Callithrix jacchus: one gene and its partners. The protein of the gene in region 1 interacts with the protein of each later gene in a biochemical or structural test. Links are inferred from orthologs where the notes say so. Each region holds a gene or a part of one and is shown in the gene's direction. Other genes may lie near its edges. The genes, in order: BCL2L1, BIK, BMF, VDAC1, HRK, PMAIP1 and SIVA1.

The links.
Region 2: the proteins of BCL2L1 (region 1) and BIK interact in a test that uses a peptide from one of them, tested with the Homo sapiens proteins (3 studies listed by BioGRID and IntAct, with this or other methods). The link is inferred for Callithrix jacchus from reciprocal best matches to the Homo sapiens genes BCL2L1 and BIK.
Region 3: the proteins of BCL2L1 (region 1) and BMF interact in a test that uses a peptide from one of them, tested with the Homo sapiens proteins (2 studies listed by BioGRID). The link is inferred for Callithrix jacchus from reciprocal best matches to the Homo sapiens genes BCL2L1 and BMF.
Region 4: the proteins of BCL2L1 (region 1) and VDAC1 form a complex in vitro, tested with the Homo sapiens proteins (4 studies listed by BioGRID). The link is inferred for Callithrix jacchus from reciprocal best matches to the Homo sapiens genes BCL2L1 and VDAC1.
Region 5: the proteins of BCL2L1 (region 1) and HRK interact in a biophysical measurement, tested with the Homo sapiens proteins (3 studies listed by BioGRID and IntAct, with this or other methods). The link is inferred for Callithrix jacchus from reciprocal best matches to the Homo sapiens genes BCL2L1 and HRK.
Region 6: the proteins of BCL2L1 (region 1) and PMAIP1 interact in a biophysical measurement, tested with the Homo sapiens proteins (3 studies listed by BioGRID and IntAct, with this or other methods). The link is inferred for Callithrix jacchus from reciprocal best matches to the Homo sapiens genes BCL2L1 and PMAIP1.
Region 7: the proteins of BCL2L1 (region 1) and SIVA1 form a complex in vitro, tested with the Homo sapiens proteins (2 studies listed by BioGRID and IntAct). The link is inferred for Callithrix jacchus from reciprocal best matches to the Homo sapiens genes BCL2L1 and SIVA1.

Annotation. Positions count from the first base shown.
Region 1 is NC_133506.1:7,531,663-7,535,162, forward strand, and holds the end of BCL2L1 (bcl-2-like protein 1), read left to right. Parts: intron 1-1,627; coding exon 1,628-1,765; 3' UTR 1,766-3,242; downstream 3,243-3,500. UniProt on the Homo sapiens protein: Potent inhibitor of cell death. Inhibits activation of caspases. Appears to regulate cell death by blocking the voltage-dependent anion channel (VDAC) by binding to it and preventing the release of the caspase activator, CYC1, from the mitochondrial membrane.
Region 2 is NC_133502.1:188,655,043-188,659,047, reverse strand, and holds the start of BIK (bcl-2-interacting killer), read left to right. Parts: upstream 1-1,205; 5' UTR 1,206-1,393; intron 1,394-2,324; exon of another isoform or gene 2,325-2,402; intron 2,403-4,005.
Region 3 is NC_133509.1:46,496,597-46,500,096, forward strand, and holds part of BMF (bcl-2-modifying factor), read left to right. Parts: coding exon 1-40; intron 41-1,525; coding exon 1,526-1,686; intron 1,687-3,500. UniProt on the Homo sapiens protein: May play a role in apoptosis. Isoform 1 seems to be the main initiator.
Region 4 is NC_133503.1:74,347,624-74,351,123, forward strand, and holds part of VDAC1 (non-selective voltage-gated ion channel VDAC1), read left to right. Parts: intron 1-93; coding exon 94-244; intron 245-2,553; coding exon 2,554-2,611; intron 2,612-3,495; coding exon 3,496-3,500. UniProt on the Homo sapiens protein: Non-selective voltage-gated ion channel that mediates the transport of anions and cations through the mitochondrion outer membrane and plasma membrane.
Region 5 is NC_133510.1:119,915,610-119,919,179, reverse strand, and holds the start of HRK (activator of apoptosis harakiri), read left to right. Parts: upstream 1-1,160; 5' UTR 1,161-1,294; coding exon 1,295-1,570; 3' UTR 1,571-1,626; intron 1,627-3,049; exon of another isoform or gene 3,050-3,182; intron 3,183-3,570. UniProt on the Homo sapiens protein: Promotes apoptosis.
Region 6 is NC_133514.1:102,890,613-102,892,778, forward strand, and holds the end of PMAIP1 (phorbol-12-myristate-13-acetate-induced protein 1), read left to right. Parts: intron 1-59; coding exon 60-166; 3' UTR 167-1,715; downstream 1,716-2,166. UniProt on the Homo sapiens protein: Promotes activation of caspases and apoptosis. Promotes mitochondrial membrane changes and efflux of apoptogenic proteins from the mitochondria. Contributes to p53/TP53-dependent apoptosis after radiation exposure. Promotes proteasomal degradation of MCL1.
Region 7 is NC_133509.1:139,618,854-139,622,833, forward strand, and holds the start of SIVA1 (apoptosis regulatory protein Siva), read left to right. Parts: upstream 1-1,180; 5' UTR 1,181-1,251; coding exon 1,252-1,369; intron 1,370-3,393; coding exon 3,394-3,588; intron 3,589-3,980. UniProt on the Homo sapiens protein: Induces CD27-mediated apoptosis. Inhibits BCL2L1 isoform Bcl-x(L) anti-apoptotic activity. Inhibits activation of NF-kappa-B and promotes T-cell receptor-mediated apoptosis.

The DNA of each region.
Region 1 (3,500 bases):
TATATTTTTTTTTTTTTTAGACAGAGTCTCACTCTGTCGCCAGGCTGAGAGTGCAGTGGCGTGATGTCAGCTCACTGCAACCTCCGCCTCCCAAGTTCAAGTGATTCTCCTGCCTCAGCCTCTCAAGTAGCTGGGATTACAGGCGCCTGCCACAACGCCCAGTTAATTTTTGTATTTTTAGTAGAGACAGGGTTTCACCATATTGGCTATGATGGTCTCAATCTCCTGACCTCATGATCTGCCTCAGCCTCCCAAAGTGCTGAGATTAACAGGTGTCAGCCACCTCGCCCAGCCTGAACTTACTTTTTTCTTACTTATTTCTAGGTGCCAGACACAGGTTTGGATTCTGGCTCCACCACTGACATAGCTGGGTGACTTTGATCTAGTCCCTGCGCCCTCAGAGGCACAGCTTCTTGGTCTGTAAATGGAGAGAGACAGCCTGCATCGCAGCACTGTTGGGAGGATTACAGGACAAATTGGGCACAACACTTACTCATTAAAGTACGCTCTAGGTTGGGAGGGGTGGCTCACGCTTGTAATTCCAGCACTTGGGAGGCTGAGCCGGGCGGATCACCTGAGGTTGAGAGTTCAAGACCAGGCTGACCAATGTGGAGAAACCCCATCTCTACTAAAAATACAAAAGTAGTGAGGTGTGGTGATGCATGCCTGTAATCCCAGCTACTCAGAAAGCTGAGGCAGGAGAATCACTTAAACCCGGGAGGCAGAGGTTGCAGTGAGCCAAGGTTGCGCCATTGTACTCCAGCCTGGGCAACGAGAGCAAAACTCGGTCTCAAAAAAAACAAAACAAAACGAAGTATGCTCTAAGCATCTCTCTCCCTGCCCCACAGGCTGCTGCACCCTGGGCTGGGTAATTTAACCCACAGCTCCTCCTTCCCCCTGTCATGTGCTTCCCTTCTGACTTAGCTTCAGGGCAGAGGGCTGTTGATCAAGAACGACCTCCTGGGCCCAGAGTCACAGTCCCTGGAGTGGAGGACAGGGACAGGGCCTCACAGACCCCATCATGGAGGCCTCTCAGTACTCCATCGTTGTTACCCTCTCTCCACTGAACTGCTCTTCCCGTCACCAACTTGACCCAATCTACCCCTGAATTGGCCCCAAATGACCCTGGGGATTTAGCCCTATGCTTTCTTGTCCCTCCCTCTGGTGCAACAGTAGAAAGTCTGAGGCCTAGTGGCTTTACACTCCACACTACCCTCAGACTCAACTCCAGGCTCCTCACAGCTTCCAGGCCACACATGGTTTGGCTCTGGCTCAGCCCTGCACCATTATCTTCCCCATGCCCTCCTCTCCTGCACTCTGGTCCAGCCACCCAGCTTCAGTCAGTTCCCTGACCCTGCCTGTTTCACTCCCACCTTGGATTCTAGAATAAGTGCTGCTTCCTGACTGACCTCGGACAGCATACTTTCCTCCTCTCTGCCTGCTTTCTCAGCGGGAGCATGGGTTAATTATGACCCACTGAGGGGCAAGAAAGAGGATCACCCTTGGCCCAGAGTGGCTACAGTTTTTCACATCACCGAGGCCATAGCATGCAGATGGCCCCCTTTCCGCACCCACCTATGTTACTGTCTGATGACTCAAACTGCGCCTTCCTTCTCTCTCCCTGCAGGACACTTTTGTGGAACTCTATGGAAACAATGCGGCAGCCGAGAGCCGAAAGGGCCAGGAGCGCTTCAACCGCTGGTTCCTGACGGGCATGACTGTGGCCGGCGTGGTTCTGCTGGGCTCACTCTTTAGTCGGAAATGACCAGACACTGACCATCCACTCTACCCTCCCACCCCTGCCCTGCCCTACCACATCCCTCCGTCCAGCCGCCATTGCCACCAGGAGAACCACTACATGCAGCCCGTGCCCACCTGCCCTCCACAGGGTTGGGCCTTGATCTGGTCCCCTGCAGTTAGTTTTCTAGAATTTACCACACTTCTGTGAGACCCCCACACCTCAGTTCCCTTGGCCTCAGAATCCACAAAAATCTGTCCCAAGGAGGCTGGCAGGTATGGAAGGGTTTGTGGCTGGGGGCAGGAGGGCCCTACCTGATTGGTGCAACCTTTACCCCTTAGCCTCCTGAAAATGTTTTTCTACCAGGGAGCTTGAAAGTTTTCAGAACCTCTTCCCCAGAAAGGAGAGTAGATTGCCTTTGTTTTGATGTTTGTGGCCTCAGAATTGATCATTTTCCCCCCTCTCCCCACACTAACCTGGATTCTCTTTCCTTCCATCCCTATCCCCCAAGAGCCATTTAGGGGCCACTTTTGACTAATTAGGGATTCCCGCTGCTTAGGATAAAGAAGCAAGGACCAGGACTCCCTTCCCACCTCTGGACTGGCAGAGTCCTCACTCGAAGTCCAAATGTCCTCCAGAAGCCTCTGGCTAGAGGCCAGCCCCATCCAGGAGGGAGGGGCTATAGCTGCAGGAAGCACCCTATGCCAAAGCTGGGGTGGCTCTTGCAGTTCAGCACCACCCTAGTCCCTTCCCCTCCCTGGCTCCCATGACCATGACTGAGGGACCAACTGGGCCCAAGACAGGTGCCCCAGAGCTGTTTATGGCCTCAGCTGCCTCACTTCGTATAAGAGCAGCCTGTGGCATCTTTACCTTGGGCTGCTCCTCATGGGGCTTCAGGGGACTCAGCCCTGAGGTGAAGGGGAGCTATCAGGAAAAGCTATGGGAGCCCCAGGGTCTTCCCTACCTCAGGCAGGAAGGGCAGGAAGGAGAGCCTGCTGCATGGGGTGGGGTAGGGCTGACTAGAAGGGCCAGTCCTGCCTGGCCAGGCAGATCTGTGCCCCACACCTGTCCAACCTGGGCAGCCGGGCTGCCAAGGTCAGAGTGGCCTGGCCAGGAGCTCTTCAGGCCTCCCTCTCTCTTCTGCTCCACCCTTGGCCTGTCTCATCCCCAGGGGTCCCAGCCACCCCGGGCTCTCTGCTGTACATATTCGAAACTAGTTTTTATTCCTTGTGAAGATGATATACTATTTTTGTTAAGCGTGTCTGTATTTATGTGTGAGGAGCTGCTGGCTTGCAGTGCGCGTGCACGTGGAGAGCTGGTGCCCGGAGATTGGACGGCCTGATGCTCCCTCCCCTGCCCTGGTCCAGGGAAGCCGGCCGAGGGTCCTGGCTCCTGAGGGTCCCTCCCCCAACCCCCACCCCACACTTGTTCCAGCTCTTTGAAATAGTCTGTGTGAAGGTGAAAGTGCAGTTCAGTAATAAACTGTGTTTACTCAGTGAACAAAGAGCCTGGGCTCTTGTGTGCTCTGGGATGGGGAAAGGTGGGGCCCCTGGAGAGCTGGGTACTGGTCCTGGCTCTGCCGCCCTCAGGGGAGGGCCTTAGACCAGTCTTTGCTTCCTTCTGGGCCCGAATTTTTCCACCTGTAGGTTGACAGGGTTTTACTGAGCACATGCTGTGTGCTGGGCACTAGGGCTGCATGTGAACAGGACAGACACAGTCTCTGCCCTCAGGAGCTGACCTTCTAGTGGGAGACACAGTCAGC
Region 2 (4,005 bases), on another chromosome or scaffold:
TTTTTAGCAGAGACAGGGGTTTTGCCTTGTTGGCCAGGCTGGTCTCAAACACCTGACTTCAGGTGATCCACCTTGGCCTCCCAAAGTGCTGGGGTTACAGCCACCATGCCTGGCCATCTCTTCCTCTTTTTGATCAGCATATTATCTTTTTTTTTTTTTTTGAGATGGAGTTTCGCTCTTGTTACCCAGACTGGAGTGCAATGGCGCCATCTCGGTTCACTGAAACCTCCGCCTCCTGGGTTCAGGCAATTCTCCTGCCTCACCCTCTCAAGTAGCTGGGACTTCAGGCACGTGCCACTGTGCCCAGCTAATTTTTAGTAGAGACGGGGTTTCACGATGTTGACCAGGATGGTCTCGATCACTTGACCTTGTGATCCACCCGCCTCGGCCTCCCAAAGTGCTGTGATTATGGGCGTGAGCCACCGCGCCCAGCCTTGATCAGCATATTATCTTGTGATTTTGCAAAGTAAATAAGTACTGTATTTTCACCCACTTTGCCCTTGAATCATTCAAAGCGTCCCCAAACTGTCCTTCATTCTCCATCTGTTCTGCTGTTTACTGAACATCCACATGCCTGGCCCTGTGCCTGCAGCCTCAAGACCCCTCTGCAAACATCTCACACATACAAGGTCTTTTGGACCCAAGAGATGCTGTGTCATTGCTTTACCTCCCTGAGTCTCAATTTCTTCATCTGCAAAATGCACTCAGAGGGAAGCCCCATAATTAAGGGTTTCCCACTCCTGACTGTAAGGCACCCTGTGGCTGTTATCCACAGTCAGGGTGAGCTGCTTTGTAGCGCTGGGAGTTGATGTGGTTTGGACGCCCTAGAAGCAAAGACTACAAAAGCAGAGAAGGTCCAAGGCCCAGCAGGAGGGAGGGACCCTGAAGACCTTATCAGGCTTTACCTCCTCTGTTCCTCCCAACAGCCCAGCTCTTGGTAGGTGCTGTTGTCCATTTCACAGATGAGAACACTGAGGGGGAAGTAATGACCCTAGAGGTAGGAAGAGCAGTGAGGGTGCCCAACAGGTAGCAACGACAGAGCTGGGGGAGGAGATGGTCCGGGGAGGGGAGCCCCGGCTCCTGCCCCTCCCCCGATCTCTAAGAGGATCAGGACACGCGTAAACAAGCTTTGTTGTGATCAGGACAATCGTTACTTTGTTATTCCAGGAGCCTCCTCTTCTCCCACCCCCAATATGCCCCAGGGCGCAGTTAGGCACTACCCGTCCCCGCGGGGCAGGCTGCCGCCCCCCACCCCTCCCGGAACCTTTCTGATTTATCTCTCCTTGGTGGGTCTCTGGGGTCCGTCTCAGCAGGTCTGCCGGTGGGCCCCCTGCCCCCAATTCTCTCCCGGTCCCGCCCCGCTCTTGCTGTCCGGGAGCCCGAGACCGGAGGGGTAAGGCAGTGGGTGTGTGGGTGCTGCTGGAAGACTGCGGAGGGAGGGGAGTGGAGGGGAAGCCCACCGGCTTGGGGTCTGGAGCACTGCTGCTAACCCAAGTGTGAACTTCGGTTTTCGTATTCGTGAAATAGGCTTAAAAATACCTAAATCTCTTGGCCCGGCGCGGTGGCTTGTAATCCCAGCATTTGGGAGGCTGAGGCAGGCCGATCACCAGGTCAGGAGATTGAGACTATCCTGGCTAACGGGGTGAAACCCCATCTCTACTAAAACACAAAAAATTAGCCAGGCGTGGTGGCGCGCGCCTATAGTCCCAGCTACTCCGGAGGTTGAGACAAGGGAATCGCTTGAACCCGGGAGGCAGAGGTCGTGCCATTGCTCTCCAGAGTGGGTGGCTGAGAGTCCGTCCCAAAGCAAAACAAAACCAAACACCTAAGTCCCAGAGCTGCCTAAGGAACACACGTTTTCAAGCGTTGGCTTCACGCGGTCATTCAGCAAGTCATTTCGTCCTCTTGGAGCCTCGGTTCCCATGCGGGTAAAATCGTGAAAAACAGCACCGAGCCCTTAGGAGTACTTTGAGCTCGAAGGGAAGCCATCCGTGTAAAGGGCTTAGATTATACACCCAGATTCTGGCAAGGGATCGACCCCGGGTATTCATGGAAACCCCTGAGTGCGCGCCCGTCTCGGGCGCAGGGAAAACAGCGACGCACGAGACAAAGCAAGTTTGCAGAACAGCAGGGGGCAGAGAGGCCGTAAACAAGCCAACCGGCCGCACTTGTAGCGGTTCTGTTGCTAATGCCATTCAGACCCCAGTCCAGCATTCCGCGCTCGGGGTGCGAGAGGCAGCTCCCGGGGCGGGGCGGCGCGGGGCGGGACCCGGGCGGGGCGGGGCGTCCCGGTCCATTAGGTCCCGCGCGGGTCCCCGGGCCGCAGACACGACGCCTCTCTGCTGGGTCGCAGACTCTGCTATCATCGCCGCCGCCGCCGCCGCCGCCGCCGCCGCCGCCAGGTGAGTACCCCGACCCTGCTGCCGCTCCCCCTCCCCGACTCCAGCCCCGCGATTAGCGCCTAGGCCGCGGCCCCGGGTGCCGAGCGGCTGAAAATTTGAGGACCCATGCCCGGTCTTTCTGCTCCGGCAAGTCGCGGACGAGTCCCTTGCGGGGCTACGTCCCGGGACTCCGGCTCCGACACGTCCCGGACATGCATGGTGCCAGGCGCGGCCCTCAGTCCCCGCGTCTGTGCAATGGGTGGTCCTTCTGCGTCTCGCCCCGAAGGCCGGGAGCCCCATCGTCCCCCTCACAGTCCTCGAGCGCGGCTTTCGGGGACCAGGCTCCGACCTCTGTAGTCGTGCGGACCCGGCCAGAGCGCAGCGCGGCACCGCCAGCCCACGGTCGCGGTCGCACAGCCCAGGTGTCCTTAAAAGAGGGAAGATGGCGTCGGGCACCTGTTCCCGCCGGGACTGGGCTCCCCGGGGCACTGCGCACCTGAGGACAGGCCGAGGAAAGGCTTCGTAACGGGACGCCCAGAAAGTCCGGAACAGGAACGTGCAGGCGGAGCGGCGCGCAGCCGCTCGCCCGCACCTGCCCCATGCGCCCTGCACAGGTGCGCTCCGGGCGGGGCGGGGGCGAGAGCCCGGCTGGGGCGTGGGACCTTGTCGGTAAACTGGGGGTGCGCCCCTGCGGGTGACCCTAGAGGGGTTCCTCCGCCTGCGGGGCGCCGTCGTGACAAGGATTAGGGGTTTGGAGCTGGTTGTCATCTGGGCTCTGACCTCCTAAATGCCATCACTTTCAAGCCGTTAATTGTTCTCAGTTTTGCTACAACGAGCCACTCAGGGGGCAGGACGTTGTTGTTGCTGCTGCTGCTCTTAATGTTGTAACATTTTTGTTGCTGATGCGGTGTTTACTGTGGCCAGGGAGGGTTGGTGTCAGCCTCATCTTCCCACATTAGGGTGGGCAATGGCTTCGGGAAGGTCTTAAATTCTATCTCCCCCTGGGAGCAGGAGGCCTCATTTTCCAGGTGGAGAAACACTTCAGTCCCAGGAGGCACAGAAATGCCAGAGTTGTCCAGCTGGAAGCCAAGGGCCGTTTATGGGAAGCCAAGCCAAAACCTTTTTCCACTGTCCGAGAGCCCTGCGGCCTCTGAAGGGCTACTCCGTCTCTCCAAAGTCAGTTTGTTCTGTCCATTCTGCAGAAACGTCTCCCTGAGGTTTCTGGCTGGGGGTGAAGAAAGCCACATTCAAGTTAGTGGCCTCCCTGGAGTTACCGCGATTTCTACTTAGGGGATACCATTAGAATAAGTTCTCAGTAAATGGCACCGTTTGGGTGTTTAAATACTCCTGCTGGCTGGGCGAGGTGGCTCACGCCTGTAATCCCATCACTTTGGGAGGCGGAGGCAAGTGGATCACCTGAGGTTAGGGGTTCTAGACCAGCCTGGCTAACATGGTGAAACCCGGTTTCTACTAAAAATACAAAAAATTAACCGGGTGTTGTGTGTGGCACATGCCTGTAGTCCCAGCTACTCTGGGATTACAGGCGTGAGCCGTCATGCCTGGACCTTTTTTTGTCATCGTAAGGACATTAAGACAGATTCTGACACATTTGACTAAAGCCTGT
Region 3 (3,500 bases), on another chromosome or scaffold:
CCTTGTGGGGTGACTGAGGAACCCCAGCGACTCTTTTACGGTGAGTGCTGTCAGCCTCAAGACTCCTTCCATAGAAATTGGGGGAAAAGAGGAGACTTTCCCTCCCCAAACCTGCCCTTTGCTGCTTCCTTCCCCAAAGTGGTCAGTGGGGCTGTGGATTCCTTGACTTCCACCTGCTTCCTCTCGGCTTGTTATTGCTCCTCACCTGTGCGCCTCAGGACCCCAAAGGGCAAACTGCCCTGCCCTTCTTTCTGCTCCATAGTCCCCTCCTGGAGGGATCCTTGAGTCCATAGTATCTCCATTTACATCCTGTGCCCCTTGAGTGGCCCGGCCTTTAGTGTCCCAGCAGTGATTTGCCTTCTGTAAAGTGGCTCCTGTTGCCCTGGAGAAGGCTGGGGGATCTGTGACTGGCTGTTGACAATGAAGGGAAAAACCCAACCGGTTCTGGGAGGGTGGGTTCCCGAAGGCAGAAGGTGGCCCCAGTTGTCACTTGGGACTTTCTGTATGTGGTAGGGGAACTGGAGAAAGAGGTTGGCCTGCTTGGGCCCAGTGCCAAGAGAGGGGATGCTTTCAAGGCTAAATCAGACAAGACCTCTTCATTTGTGGGCTTAAATAGTTTGTTTTATGAGAAATAGGCCCTCCTCTGGCAAAACGGCAGGATCAGACAGTCTGTTTTCTTCTAGTGGCACTGCAGCTTATGGAGGGAGGGTAAAGGCTAGGAGGGTGGCTTGCTGTGTCTGACGAGCAGATTGAGGAGACACTGTATTTACTCCCAGAGGGAACTGCCTCTCAGGGCAGCTCTGGCAAAGCAGTTTGGCGGGAGTATGAGAAGCTGGATAAGGCGGGCAGGCGGGGAAGAGGGAAAGGAGCGCGGAGGCCGGCGGACTGGCGCCCCTAGCGCTGGCTCTAACGCGTGCACTCGGTAAGTGTGGAGCGCTGGTCTAGAGGTCTTGCCTGGGGCTGTCTCCAGAGAGGAACTTGGCAGCTCTGTGCATCTCAGTTTTCTCTCCCTTGTTTTTATGCTGCTGCCCAGGAGCTTCGAGAGACCAGCCTTCCTCTACTGCACTAAAAACGTGAAGTCACTTTTTTTTTCTGCCCCTTACTTTGCTCAACTCAGAAACTCTGGAGAGCTACCTCCAGTGCTTTTCCAGAGAAGAACTTCAACCTGTTACTACATGAATGATCAACTGTGGTCAAGCATAGCTTGATAAGTGAGGATGGAAGGTTGGCACGTTCGCCTGCACACGTTACCACCCTGCCCTTTGTCACTGCACTGTCAGTGAATGGAGAACTGGAGGGAAGGCTCGGGCCACTCTCCCTGTTCTCCGTTCTTTTCTGCAACCTTTATGCACTTGGGCAGCAGCCTGTCCAAGCTTGGCAGAGTGCCCTGATACAGGCATGCTGGTTCCTATCCATTCTCATAGGAGGATTTACTCTCAGCCTCAATCTTGGCCAGGTCGGGCAGGTGTGGGGAGGCGGGAGCAGTTGTGGAGAATGCTGAGATGTGGCTCCTCTATCTTTGCAGGCAATGCTGGCTACCGGCTTCCTCTCCCTGCCAGTTTCCCGGCAGTCTTGCCCCTTGGGGAGCAGCCCCCCGAAGGGCAGTGGCAACATCGAGCAGAGGTACAGATTGCCCGAAAGCTTCAGTGCATTGCAGACCAGTTCCACCGGCTTCATGTGCAGCAAGTAGGCATGGGGGTTTGAGGGAGGAGGGTTGGGTCTGTGGGGCTTGGGGGCCAGGGCCTGCCTCTCTCCTCTTGTCAGCAACTCTGTCTCTGCCAGACCGCAAGAATGTGGTCCCAGAGTTTTGGTTATTGCGGTTCCCATAGGCAGGAAAGGCCCAGCTGGATGAGCATCTTGCCCTCATCTCGGAGCTCTGCATTGGTTAACTGCCCACTCTCAACTCATGTTCCATAAGGGCCATCTTGGGAGAGGCTACAATCCCTCCCCTGGAATAGGGTGGTTTTCTGCAGCCCTGCTTGATAGCCTGTCTCTTCTTATGGTGGTGGCCGGGGGACTGCCCCTCACAGACCTAAAAGGAAGATTTTTAGGGTGCTGCAGTGACACTGGGCAGTTGGGGGTGCCTGGCTAAGGTACAGTGGGAAACGGGTAACCAGGCCAAGGGATGGGGCCTGAGTGGGGGAAAGTGGTGGAACCGGTTGAAACCTGACACTTTCCAGCTGGGGAGGCCGCTCCTCACTGTCTGTGTCTGGGAACCAGGGTCTGGGACTCGAGAGAATGTACCTCCGAGAGGCTCCCCAGACCGGCGGCCAGCCGGGCGCTTGGCCGGGTGCTTGGCCGGCAGCCTGGCACCAGCCCCGCCAGGGTGGAGCATCGCGTGTCAGCCGAGCATGTGGCAGAGTCCATCAACAAAGGCGGCGGCTGGCAGGCTCGTGCTGGAAGAGCCCTCTGTGCCACGGACTGGAGGCTGCCCTGTTCCAGCAGCCGCTGTCTGGGCTGGGCCCCCAGGCACTTAACCCTTCCTCTCCAGGCTGGCTTTCTGGATGGCTGCCAAGGCAGGGAGAGGAGCCTGAGGCTGCATCCGTGTCACCTGGAAGCGAACACATTCTGTACTTCTGGGACTGTGTCCCTGGCCCTGCTGGCTCTGTATGTGTGTATGTGTGTCTGTCAATAAATCAAGGGAATAAATAGCTTGATCATGACTGGGCAGACTCCAGGGTTAGATGGGTAACTTCAGGTGGCCAGAGGAGAGCTATTGATAATAAGTAGGTTGACTTAAGGGTCAAACCATTGCCAGTGGCAGGGGAAGAGGAATTGACCTTGGATTTCCTAAGAAAAGGCCATTGCTGGTTAGATATTGTTAATGCCCTCTGCCAAGGAATTCTGAGGACAGTTTGGGGCTAGACCCGGTCCTGGTAAGTCCTCCTAGTCTCTTAGTGATCAGGAAGGGAGGGTGGCCTTATGTTTAGATAATAGACTAAGCTCCAGTTCTTACTCCCTCCTTTGATTATTTGGTGGAAACTTGGCTTAGAGTTTCCCCTTCAATCCATGTGTGGACTCACTCTGATTCTTGTTTTCAGTTTCTTGGCCTCCTTCCTGCCCATTCACTCCACCCTGGTTATACAGGCCTATGGCTGAGCGCAGCTCACAGCTTCCAGTCCCGGTACTGGAGAGGATTGGAGGACACAGTGGCTGTGGCTCTCCTAGACTCAGCTAGAGGCCTATGTGGAAGGCAGCTTGCTTCATTTGCAGTTATCTGATCTCTCTCACCAGTTATTCCCCAGAACCTTCCCCTAGCCACTGGTGAGCCCCTATAGGCTTGGGAATAGGCTGGGAGCCCTCCCTGGCACAGGACTAGGATATAGTCTTCCTGGGAGCCCTCCTAACTTGGTCCTGAACAGAAGGAGGAGGAGGCCCTTATCCCAAGGTCTGGCCCTGCATTTTTTTTTTTTGAGGCAGAGTTTCACTCTTTCGCCAAGGCTGGAGTGAAGTGCCATGATCTTGGTTCATTGCAACCTCTGCCTTCCAGTTCAAGCAAT
Region 4 (3,500 bases), on another chromosome or scaffold:
TGGCATCCTGTTTATTGGGAGACTTGGGTAGATCTGTCTGGGCTGCAGCTCTCCTCCCTGGGAAGCTCAGCATCTGTGCTCTGCTCATTGCAGGAATGACGGGACAGAGTTTGGCGGCTCCATTTACCAGAAGGTGAACAAGAAGTTGGAGACCGCTGTCAATCTTGCCTGGACAGCCGGAAACAGTAACACGCGCTTCGGAATAGCAGCCAAGTATCAGATTGACCCTGACGCCTGCTTCTCGGTAGGTATCTGTGGAATCACGCATCTCATAGGCCCATCTGCTACTTAGGTTGGAATCCTTCAGGTTTGCTGGAATGCTGTGCTTCAGCTTACTTGAAGTGAGAGATGCGGCTGGGCGCGGTGGCTCATGCCTGTAATCCCAGCATTTTGGGAGGCCAAGGCGGGCAAATCACTTGAGGTCAGGAGCCCTGGCCAACATGGTGAAACCTTGTCTTTATTAAAAATACAAAATTTAGCTGAGTGTGGTGGTGTGTGCCTGTAATACCAGCTACTCGGGAGGCAGGCAGGAGAGTTGCTTGAACCAGGGAGCTGGAGGTTGCAGTGAGCTGAGATCGTGCCACTGCACTCCAGCCTGGGTGACAGAGTGAGACTCCATTTCAAAAAAAGAAAAAAAAGACTCCATCTCAGAAAACAAAAACAAAATGGGAGACATTGTCACTTTGAAAAGAGTTCCAAATGAGTACAGTGATCAAAGTATTAGTACTTCTTACGGGTATCAGGCACTCTGCAGAGCCTTTTATGAAGACTACTGTGTTTAATCCCATTTGAAATAGGTGCTTTGTTTTTTTGTTTTAAATTATCTCTGGGTTTTTAAACTTTTTGTTTTTGAGACAAGGTCTTGCTTTGTTGCCCAGGTTGATGTAGTGGTGTGATTATAACTCACTGCAGCCTCAACCTCCTGTGCTCAAGTAATCCTGCCACCTCAGCCTCCCAAGTGGCTGGGACTACAGGCACACCACCATGCCTGGCTAATTAAAAATAATTTTTTAGGCTGGGCACGGTGGCTCACGCCTGTAATCCCAGCACTGTGGGAGGCTGAGGCAGGTGGATCATGAGGTCAAGAGATCAAGACCATCCTGGTCAACAAGGTGAAACACCGTCACTACTAAAAATACGAAAAAATTAGCTGGGCATGGTGGTGTGCGCCTGTAGTCCCAGCTACTCGGGAGGCTGAGGCAGGAGAATTGCTTGAACCCACGAAGCAGAGATTGCAGTGAGCCGAGATCGTGCCATTGCACTCCAGTCTGGGTAACAACAGCAAAATTCCATCTCAAAAAAAAATAAATAAATAAAATTTTTTTAGCAGAGATAACATCTCTCTGTGTTGCCTGGGCTAGTCTCAAACTCCTGGCTCAAGCTGTCCTCCCACCGCAGCCTCCCAAAGTTTTGGGATTACAGGAATGAACCATGCCTGGCCAATCATCTCTGTTATTTATTTATTTTTTCTTTTTTTTGAGATGGAGTCTCCCTCTGTTATCCAGGCTGGAGTGCAGTGGCATGATCTCGGCTCACTGCAACTTCCACCTCCCTGGTTTAAGTGATTCTCATGCCTCAGCCTCCCATGTAGCTGGGACCACAGGCACCCGCCACCACACTCAGCTAATTTTTGTATTTTTAGTAGAGATGGAGTTTCAGCATGTTGGTCAGGCTGGTCTTGAACTCCTGACCTCAGGTGATCTGCCTGCTTTGGCCTCTCAAAGTGCTGGGATTACAGGCGTGAGCCATTGCACGCAGCCAGTCATCTGTGTTTTTACAAATGAGGAACTAGAAGGTTAGAGAGGTTGAGTAACTTGTCCAAGGGTACACAGCAGGAAGTTGCTTGGGACTGGATTTGAGCTAGACTGGCTTACTGTTGAGTCTCTTCCATTAATACCAATTCCTTTTCTATAATGCAGACTGTTAAGCACTTTGAAATTTAGGGTGCTAAATGATAATTTCCCACCTCACATTTCATTTTTCTGTTCAACTCCTGCATTGCCTATTAATAAATCAGTAGTCAGTTGGCATCTTGCAGACTCTCTTGCATTGCTCACAGGCCCTCAAACTACTTCACAGGTTTTGCAGTAAATCCTGTTGGGCTCATTTCTGTTGTCACAGGGCACTGGAGGCTGTACCTCTTTAGGGTGGAATGAGGAAATCTCATGTTGTAGAATGGTTTCTGTACTGGTTTGTGTAATTGATGGACAGCCCACTTTAAGTCTCCTGAACTAGAACCAAATTTGGCTCTCTTAAGAGCAGGCACTTAAAAACAAGAGAAAAGGGGCACTGGCCCCCAAGAGGCCTTCCTCCTCTCTGCTTTGTTCTTATGAGGGGTTTCAGATCTCAGAACACCATTTGAACAGGAAAATATGCACCTAAAATTGGTATCTTTTGTGTTGAATTTAATGAATCTCATGAACAAGATGGTCATAAAAAAATTTGATTCTGAAGTCCAAGGTTGGTTGACTAAAAAGCTCTTACTGATTTTGGAGATGGAATTGCAAAGTGTTAAACGTAATGTTTTCTCTGTTTTGTCATTTCCTTGACTAGGCTAAAGTGAATAACTCCAGCCTGATAGGTTTAGGATATACTCAGACTCTAAAGCCAGGTATGTGTTGCTTGTGTGTGAAATTGGTTCTTTGTTTTAAAAAAAATTGTGGTGCTGGTTTGCTGATTTATGTCATAGTAAAATGTTTGTATAATACAGTGGGTATATAATAAATGGGTATATAAAGTTGTATAATTAAATGTTTATAAAGGAGTATGGATGATTATAAAACATTTAGAGAATATGAGATGTAGCAAGTAGGAGAAAAAGGCTGAGGCTAACATATATTCTCTGCTATTTTCTTCCATCCTTTTTTCCAGTGTGTATATAATGCCTGATACTTATTTCTAGCAAATTCTCAAAACTAACTTATAAATCAGCCCCATTGTAAAAAGACAAATAGGAAAAGTGGTTTGCAGGTTTCCTCTGCACAGTAAGCTAGGCCAGTCCATGGTGTATTATAGTTCTAGGGTGTAATATCACCTTTGAACCGTGGAAACCTAAGATTACCAGCTACTCCCTGAATCAGGTTATTTCAGGGAAGGTCAGTTTGTTGTACGTGTGTGTACACTATGAACCTGAAAATGTCATCCCTTAGGTTGGATTCAGGATTGAGGTTTCATTTAAAGAGATGATTGCTAAAGAAGCTTACTGCATGCTGCCAGTGCTAGAGACTAATTATACCAGGGGAACAGTGGGAGGAAAAAGGAAAGTGGGGTTTCAGAAGTAGATTTGGGTAGGCTCTCTGGGCAGCAGGATAATTATAGTTGTTTTATAAGCTCACTGTAGGATACTCGTTAGTCAGATAGTGTTAAGTAACAAGGATTGAAGGGCCATGTAGTTTGGACCCTGCTGATAATACCTGGAACAGGTTCTGAATTTGGTGTTAACCTTTCTTTTCTCCATTCCTCCTCCTTTCCTCTCCCTGATTTTTCTCCCTGCAGGTATC
Region 5 (3,570 bases), on another chromosome or scaffold:
GAGTCCTGACTTTGTTGTCATTTCACCGCGCTGCAGGCCAAAGCAGACATTTCTCCTCCTGATCAATTCAGACCAAAACTAAGTTCACAGGATTGGAGAATCATGGTTATACTCTGCGGTGGGAAGGAAAGAATGGAAGCTCCCTCAGCAGCTTCCAGACTCCCACCTTCGAGCCACCTCTGGACTCATCCCGATCGTCTGAATCCCAAAGTTGCCTGAATTCCAGTGGATTTAATATCGCAGGTTTCATTCTCCCCTGAAGAATCCTGAGAGCCGCCCCACCCATCTGAACCTTCACTGGCTGTGACAACTCCAGACTCTCCAGTCTGGAGGTGCACAGGAGCGGCTGTCGGGTTGGAAAAGGGGGAATTAAAGTCCCCCGCACCCCTCCTCTCGCTGACCCCTTAGGGTCTCTACTGCGCATAAATCGGGATCGTCGCAGAAAACTGTAACCCCATCAAGAAAATAACGTTCACAAAGAAAGCAGACAAGAAGTTTCCCTTTAGAAAGGCCCTTGTGAGGGCCCTTTGGGTGCAGGTACTGGGCGGTGAGAAAGCCTCTGTCCGCGCCCCACGTGAGCTCAGGACCGACCCCTCCAACCTCCCACTGCGCCTACGTCAGGGTTTCTAGCCGGGCGCTGGGGGCGCGTTAGGATCAGGCTGAAAGCCTACAGGTGCCCAGTCAGACCTGAAACGAGGCAAGTTAGGTGTAATCTGGCCCTTCCACAAGATTTTGAATCCACCCACTTCCCCCAAACAAAACAGCCTCGGAATATTTTTGAATCAGGCAGCCGAATTCAGTATCAGCTTCTTCCAAAACGGCAAACAAGGCTGCTTCCTTCGCCAAATCGGAACTCGAGCTGAATTCAGGAAAAGGGGAAGGAGAACAACCTTCCCTCGCTTCCGCGGGGGTCCCCCAAGACCCTCAAAGCCCGGGACCTCCGTCGCGGGGCGCCTTCTCGCGTAGCCGCGCGCCGCCCTACCCCGTCTCCCAAACCGCGCGCCCCTCGCTGCCGGCGCCGCTAGGGTTAAAAGTTACCTCTCGGTTTCTTCTGCCTGCAGCCCCCCCCACCCCCGGGGGCCGGATGATGTAACCCCCCTCCCCGCCCCCCTCCACCATGTGACACTTTAATTAATAATAGCGCTGTCAGCACAACAAACGCACAACACAAGGAGAAACTTGGTGTCCAGGGGAGGCCCCCGGCGGCTGGAGCGCGGCGGCGGCGGGCGCAGAGGCCGGAGGGAGAGGAGGCGAGGGGCGGCCCGAGCGCGGGGCGGGAGCGAGGCCAGCGGTCATGTGCCCGTGCCCCCTGCACCGCGGCCGCGGCCCCCCGGCCGTTTGCGCCTGCAGCGCGGGTCGCCTGGGGCTGCGCTCGTCCGCCGCGCAGCTCACCGCCGCCCGGCTCAAGGCGCTCGGCGACGAGCTGCACCAGCGCACCATGTGGCGGCGCCGCGCGCGGAGCCGGAGGGCGCCGGCGCCCGGCGCGCTCCCCACCTACTGGCCCTGGCTGTGCGCGGCCGCGCAGGTGGCGGCGCTGGCGGCCTGGCTGCTCGGCAGGCGGAACTTGTAGGAACGCGGGGCTTCTTGGTGGGGCCGGAGCCGAGACCCAGCCGGAGCGAGCAACAGGTACGCGAGCGAGCGAGCGAGCGAGCGAGAGCCAGGGCGCGGCAGCTGGGCACTGGAGGCGCTGGGCTGGCCCGGGAGCGGGAGAGTGGCAAGTTTGGCTTTCTTCTCTTCCCTTTCCCTTCTTCCTCTGTTCTCTTCTCTTGCAAGCACCCCCGGCCAGCTCTTCTGCCCAGCCCCCGTCTTTCCTTCCAAGTGTCAGGTCCACCGTTTCTGCCCCCATCTCTCCGAGTCCTTAAGCGCATCTTGCTACTTTCTCCCTTAGAGCTGGTTGGCTTGCGGAGGACTTCAGCCTCCATAATCCCCACCAGCCCCACAAATAAACACACAATGCAAGTAAAAAGTGTGCTTGCGATGAGAATGTAGCTGAAAGCTACGCCAAATACTTATAATCTGTCGCAGTTTTAAGAAAGGTCCCCTGTCCCCTTCAAGCCTCTTGCCGTTCCTGAGTCGCCACCGTCTCCCTCACCTTTGCTCCCACCTCTTCTCCCTAAGTGTCACTTCCCCAATCTCTGATCCCCATTCTCTGCCACCCCAATCGCATCTCGAGACTTCGTCCTCCTTGTTTCCGGCTGGCCCAATCTTCGACCCCAAGCCCCGCGCATTTGCAAATTTCCTCTGCCCTGCCAACTTCGCTCCTTCGCCAGTGAGTTGTCCTGTTTAAGGAATTTGGCCTCCTTCTCCTCAGACGGTTGTAGCTGCGTTGGGAAGGAGACGCCCTCGCAGTGGGTTGGAATAGGAGGCTTTTGGGGAAACTCCAATGGGAAGCCTTAAGGAAGGAACATTTACTGAGCTCCTTCTGGGTGCTGGGCACTGTTTAGGGAAGTGATGTTTTGAGAGCTTAGGACTGGACGTGGGCCTTGAGCGCCTAGTGTGGTTGGTATCAGTGGGAGGAAGGTTATAGGCTCTTGGGGGGAAATTATTGTGCCATAGCTGTGCGTCTGGCACTGTGCTAGGCGCTTTGAGGAAGCACACAGTGTAAGCATCGCCTTACTACTCTGGATCCTGGAGTAGCGAGGAGCGTTGCAGAAAATGAAGGTGGAGAGAATCAAGCTGAGTCCACCATAGATGGGTCTAGGGCCGGAAGGTGAAGATCGAAGGTGATATAGCCAGCCGCCCTTGGGTCCCCACCGCCGAGCCCCGCCTCGCACCGCAGACACCCTGGGAAGCTGGAGCGGCGCCTGAAGGCGAGGCCCTAGCGCCTGCGCCCGCCGGGAAAGGCGGCAGCCGGAGCGTGGGGGGTGGCAGCGCCCAGGGAGCTGCGGGGGTGCACGGGGTGTGAGCCGGGACCGCAGGCGACAGATGTCGCGTGGGCCCGCCCAGCCTGGGCGCTGACGAAGAGAAGTGAGCGCTTCGGGGCGCACTCCGCAGGGCTCCCGGGCGCCGGGGGTCCCTTCCACTACTCTCCGCCTTCTTCCTCCTCCAGTTGGAGAGGCCGGGGGCTCCCGCGACTGAATGGGGCCAGGCTGAGGCTGCCCAATCCCAGGAACGGGAAGAACACTTTGGATGGATCTCGTGGAGCAGAAAAAGGAAGTTGAGCGACAGACGCGAAGCCCAAAGCGTGGAATTTGGGAAGAGGCAGAAAAAAAAGTGGGTGAAGAGGGAGAGAAAAACCAGGCGATGAGGTGGGGAGGGACAAGAAGTTTGGAGAGGGTGGAGAAAAAGAGAAAGTGCCTGGAGAACAAGTTGTAAGACAATTGAAAAGTGAATTAGAAGGCAAGAGAAGAAGGGAGTAAAATCAAATAGAAATGGGGAGAGGGCTGGGACACGGCTTTCTTTGGTTCTGTCGTCCAGGAGATTGGAAAAGCGGTCCCCTCCCGGGACGTGGCGTGCGGGATGTCAGGTGCCCCTCCCGGGAGGCGGAGGACTCTGGGCCGGAGGTTGTCTGAGTGTTCCCGTTTGCCAGTGTGTGAGTGTCAGAGGTGTGAACCCGCCCGGATCCCCAAA
Region 6 (2,166 bases), on another chromosome or scaffold:
ACTGGTTACAGTTGGTAATATCATCAATGTTGATGTCCGTGTTTTGCTTTCCTTCTCAGACCTTGAAGTCGAGTGTGCCACTCAACTCAGGAGATTTGGAGACAAACTGAATTTCCGGCAGAAACTTCTGAATCTGATATCCAAACTCTTCTGCTCAGGAACCTGACTGCATAAAAGAAACTGGCATGAGGGGACTTCTTCAAAAGAGAAGTTTTCTCAGGAGGTGCTCATTTTATCAGTTTGGAGATTGCATTTTGAAGATTGCAATTTGAAGACTGAATTGTAATTGAGAGGAATGTGAAGAAGCTTTCACGAGTGCCCTTGGAAACGGAAGATGGAATGCATCAAAAATGAATTTCTGTTGGCAATTTCCCAGATTATCATTTGTTGGGATATGAGAGTGTTATAAAACCACTTGTTTATTTTAAAGCAAGAACGAGAGACCCTTGGAAATAGGGAAGTAAAGATTGATACATTTCCTTTTTACTTAGATAATTGTTCTAGTGTTTTTGTTGAAGATTACTGCTGGCCTAGTGGAAAGGGGGATGGCCCATGGTTAGACTTGGTGGCTGGGAAGAAACAGTTGAGTGCTTTGTTGTTATTGCTGTTTTTGGTATTTTGCTTTTCAGTGCCAACTCAGCACAATGTATATGATTTGGTTTATACATATTACCTTGTTATAAGGAAAAAAATTCATTCTGAGAACACTGAAATGTCATAGTGAATGTCGATTTCTTAGGTCACTACACAATGTAAAAGAATTTGTTTCCTTTGACTCAAATTGTATTGCTTCTGTTGAGATGATCATTCAATGTGTTCCTGTTGGAAACTATGGAAAACTGGAAAATAATTTCAAAAAAATTGGATAGAAGTATAGGAGGTTACTTGGGGCCAGTATATTGGTAGACTGAACATTCAATATAATAAAACAACACGGGGATTTTGTATAACTAGGGATAATAAAAAGAAAAATGAAGTTGATTTTTAATTGATGTAATTAAAACTTAGTAAAACAAATATTCACAGTAACTTGATGCGAAATGAAGGTTTCTAAAGAAGTTTCTAAAATTTGGAAAATGCTCCTTGTCTCATTAATGTGCATCCTACAAAAAGTGATCTTTTAATACAAAGTAAGAATGTTTTCATAATTGGAATATGCTTTTTTTAAAAAGAGGAACAGATTGTTCTCATCTAGAATGAAAGTTCCACATATGCATTGGCGAATATATATGTCTACATATACTTACATAGTTATATGGATATCTGTATGGATAATTTGCATTCGAGTATTATATAGATTCTTAGAAGAGTCTCAAATAAGTTTCATTTTTTATCTGGTCTATATACAGTCCTCAAATACATAAAAAATAATATGATTTTATTTCAGCAAAAATAATTTTATTTATTTTGCCTATTTATGATTAAAATATTTTTTAGTTTGAAAATGTATATTAAGGTTACATTTTTGAGTTCCAAAGGCTACTTGAATTTTTAGTTAAAATGTCTTAATATAGGTTATAGTCACTTTAGATGGAAGATTACCTCACATCTCTTTTCTTCAGTATTACTTAAGATGGTCTATTTGTTGCAGAGATTTTTTTTTCAGCCTAGAAGCAGATATCTTACCATCTGGGTATTTATGGTCTAACTTGTATTTAAACGTGTGTACACATATAAAAGTTGATACTGTGGCAGTAAACTGTTAAAAGCTTTCATTGTTCTTTTCCGTGTGTTCATTTCTTCTTCATCTTGTAAGCTGCTAAGTGTTCATTATCAAGCCAAAGTATTTTAACTGATTTCCATCAGCAGACATCCACTGACCTTCTGACGGCACTGTCTCCTCCCACTGGTTCGAGTAGAAAATGTAGGGGAATTTGCATGATTTCTGCTGTCAAGGGACTTAAACACTTTAATTGGGAGGGGAAATACTGAAAAATAGGAAATGAATACGAGGCATAGGTCTTTTTTTTTTTTCTTTTGAGACAGAGCCTTGCTCTGTTGCCCAGGCTGGAGTGCAGTGGCACGATCTTGGCTCACTGCAACCTCTGCCCCCCAGGGTCAAGTGAATCTTGTACTTCAGCCTTTCTGGTAGCTGGGGTTCTATGCGTGTGCCACCAGGCTGGGCTAATTTTTGTATTTTTAGTAGAGAACAGGGATTTCACCATG
Region 7 (3,980 bases), on another chromosome or scaffold:
TCACGCGGGGAGGGCGTCACGGGGGTGGCATCACGAGGGGCGGTGTCACGCGGGGCGGGCGTGCAGGGCTCCAGGCATCAGCTCCTCACACCGGAGGCGGCGCAGACGGAGCCGCCAGAACACAGCCCAGCGCGAAGCCCACGCCACGGGACGCGGCGGTTCCGCACCCGCCGGGGCAGCGCAGAGCAGAGCGGCCCCTGCTGAGCGGAGCCCGGACAAGGGACAACGCGGCTGCACCGCGCGGCCTGGGGACCTGAGCCAGACGGACCCGCTGCGCAGGAACATCTTCCACACAAGCAGCACCCGGGAGCCCTCGGGGCCGCCCCCTCACGCCTTTACTTCCGGAAGGCGGGGACCGCCACGGCGAGCGGCTAGACCAGCCGGGGCAACGCAGTGAGACCCCGCTCCCACCCAAAACCAAAAGTCAGCCGGGCGCGCCTGCGGGCCCAGCTACCGGGAGGCCGAGGCGGGAGGATCGTGAGCCGAGACTTTGCCACTGCAGTCCAGTCTGGGCGACAGAGCGAGGCCGTGTCTCTAAAAGGAAAAAACTAGGAAGAAGCGGGCCGCCCCGAACTTCGGGGAAGCAAATGAGGACCACGACCAGTGTCCACCCGTTCAACCAAACAAAAGCTGACAGGAATCCCGCCACCTACCCGGCCCGCCCCCGACGTCGCTCCGGCCTATCCCGCGCCGTTCCTCAAACTAGACCCGCCTCCGATGTCGCCCTGGCCTATCCCACGCCGATCCTCAAACGAGGCCTGCCCCCGATGCAGAAGCTCCGCCCCTTATTCTCCCCGACTTCGCGGCTCTGTCCTGACCCTCAGCCTCTCCTGCTGGCTCTTCCCGCACTGTAGAATCCCGCCGCGACCTGTCTCCCAGGCTACCCCGCTTCGCGCCGCACAGGAACCCCGCCCCTAGTCTCTCCTCCCGCCTATCCTGAGCCGCGTGCGCACAAATCCCTCCTACCGACCCGCCCACTCTGAGCCTCAAACTGGCCCCTGGGCCTTTCCCGCGCCGCGCAGTTCTGATCACCGACGCACGAGTCCCACCCCCGATCTCACCCTCGGCCTATCCCGCGCCGCTCTGCACAGGAGCCCCGCCTCCTACCTCGCCCGCAGCCTATCGCGCACCGCGTCGCTCCCTCGCCCTCCAACTCGCTCACGCCCGCGGATGGGCGCGCGGCTGTGACGTCACGGCGCCGGCGGTAAGGGGCTGGCGGCCGCGGAGCAGCGTAGCTCCCGGCCCGCGGCGATGCCCAAGCGGGACTGCCCCTTCGCGGACGCGGCCCCGCTACAGCTCAAGGTGCGCGTGGGCCAGAGGGAGCTGAGCCGCGGCGTGTGCGCTGAGCGCTACTCGCAGGAGGTCTTCGGTGAGTGCCGGGCGGACTGCTGAGCGTCCGCTGCGTCGGGCCTGGCCTCAGCCTCCCATCCGAGGCCTGAGCTGGGGTCCCGGGGACACAACCTGCCCACGACCAGGGCTGGGGTCGGTGAGGGGGAAGTGAGGACCTCAGCGTTCGCCCCCCGCGTCCATCAGCCTGAAAGTAAAGGGTCTCTGTCCTTAGCCGCCGCCCCGCAGTCAGCGGCACCTGCCTGGCGCTTCCTCGGGACTGTCCCGTGCTGGATGCCCTGGGAGGGGTCGGGAGGGGGGCGTCCTGCAGGGAGTCGACCCGGAGTGCCCCTCCTGACCCAAGAGGTAATCATGGAGCGCCCCCCACCTCCTGCCCGGCGCCCCGGGAGCTCCGCAGCCTAGTGGGGGAGACCAGCAGCAGGAGGAGTCACCACAGGTGATCAGGACGGGCGCAGGTTGGTGCAGGCGCACCTGCAGGGATGGCGCAGGGGCCCCTTGGAAGAGCAGTCTGGGCCGCGTCCCGTGGGAAGAGTGGGGCTTAGCCGGGCAGAGGGGTCAGCCCAGGCGGAGCGAGGCAGGACTCCGTGTGGCTGCATGTCCAGCGCCGGGCGGATGCGAGGCCTTCCCTGGCTTTGTCCTGTACATTTCAGGCGTGTTCAAGGCGTTCTCGATCATCAGGAAAAATGATCGTAATCGTCAGTGATCACTAATCACTAGGGCGATGAATACGCCGGGGCAGGTAGGAAGTGGCGCTCACCTCGCCTAGTGGTTGGGGCGCAAGGTCTGCCCTGTAGAGCAGTTAGAGAGTGACCGAGGTGTGTGATTTCCGTGGTGCTGCTTGTGCCTTGCGGGTGAGGGAAAGGCTTCCCCTCCTGAGGCTCCGGTGTGCTGCGGCTGTGAATGCGGGTGCTGTCTCCGGTCCTGCCGGGGTACGGGGAGCGACGCGGTGGGAACGTGGCTGGACCGCAAGCGCGTGCCCTCTCTCCGGAGAGCTGAAAAATTCAGACTGTGCAGGCAAGAGGAAGATGGAAATGGGGCCTGGGTCAGGCTAGCTCTTTACTCTCCCGAGTGCCCTGACACTGGCAGATGTTAGCCCTCCCTAACCCGACCCACTCACGGGTGGGTGCAGTGAGCCTTCCATGGTAAGTGCAGGACACGTACTTTGAACTGTGTGTCAATCCCATTCCCTTCTCATTATGGATAGGAAAGGTGTGGGGGGCCAGGAGGAGGAGGTGCTGGGTGCTGTGGGCTGTCATCAGCCACTCCGTTTGAGTTACCCTGTCCCTGTTACGGCTGCCGATTTCATGTAGAACCACGCGGAGTTTCTGGGATCTCTACCTTTAACTGTGTTACGATGAGGTGGAAAACACAAAGCGTCTCTGGGTCTAGTTTCCAAAGCTCCTGAGGTGACCGAGCCTGATGGAAAACCACTGCTCTGGGTCCTGAGCAGGCCCTTCAGCTCCCAGGGATGGTGTGTGTTCTACACCAAGAGGTCTGCAAGGTTCTGGGACGCTTGTCTTGCCAGCAAGTCTGTAGCAGGTGAAGGGGGTGTGCGCTGGCTGGAGGCTGCAGGCCCAGCTCCGAGCCTCTGGCTGCTTCCTAGGCAGGGGCGAGATTTGTGAATTAGTGTTCCACAGTGCAGAGCTTCCTCTGTGCATTCCACAGAGACTGCTTTCTGGGTGGGGAGTGCTGGGAAATAGGAAAGGGAGAAAGGGGAACACGCTCAGTGAGGCAAGGCCGGCTGTGGATTGCAGAAAATGAGCAGAGCAGTAGAAGAGGGAACCCCTGCCTCAGACACAGGTGGGGCCGCAGGGCAGAGTCTTCTGGAGTAGATGACAGCTAAGCCAGGTAAGGAAGGGAGGCACGAGCGTCTCAGTGTAGAGGCAGAGCAAGACCCAGCTTACCAGGACACAGCATGCATTACTGGGTGACAGAGGGCACACAGTAGGACCAAGGGGTCCATGAGAGGCTGAAAAGACTCAGCGGCCATGCAGAGGCTCCGTTGGTATACAGTGAAGAACATGAGAATGATTTGTCTTCCCCCAGAGAAGACCAAGCGACTGCTCTTCCTCGGGGCCCAGGCCTACCTGGACCGTGTATGGGATGAAGGCTGCGCCGTCGTTCACCTACCAGAGTCCCCAAAGCCTGGCCCTACAGAGGTCCCGAGGGCTGCACGTGGGCAGATGCTGATTGGACCAGATGGTCGCCTGATCAGGAGCCTTGGGCAGGCCTCTGAAGCTGGTGAGTGGCAGGTGGCAGCACAAGCATTTTTTCTTTATTTGCAAGCTCGGGCTTTTCCTCCCTGGGCAAGCAGGAGTCTCACCCAGAGCTTGGCCTTCTGGCTCGGGAGGTTTCCCATCCAAGACGGGAAGTTGTTAAACAGCTTCTAACTAGTGGACCAGAAAAGCAGCAGGCTCCCCGGGTGTCGCGTCTGCTTTTGCCTGCAGCCCTCTCAGACAGTCCCAAATGGCTGGAAGCACAGCGGTCCCATCCCTGTGCAGTGTGGGTCTCACACCATCACCTGTGTTGCCTGTTAGAAAGGCAGTCCCCGACCCTGCCCACAAGTCTGCTTGGTGTGTCTGGGAGGAGCCCAGGCACCTCTTTGTTAACCAGCGAGGCAGTGGGCCACACTG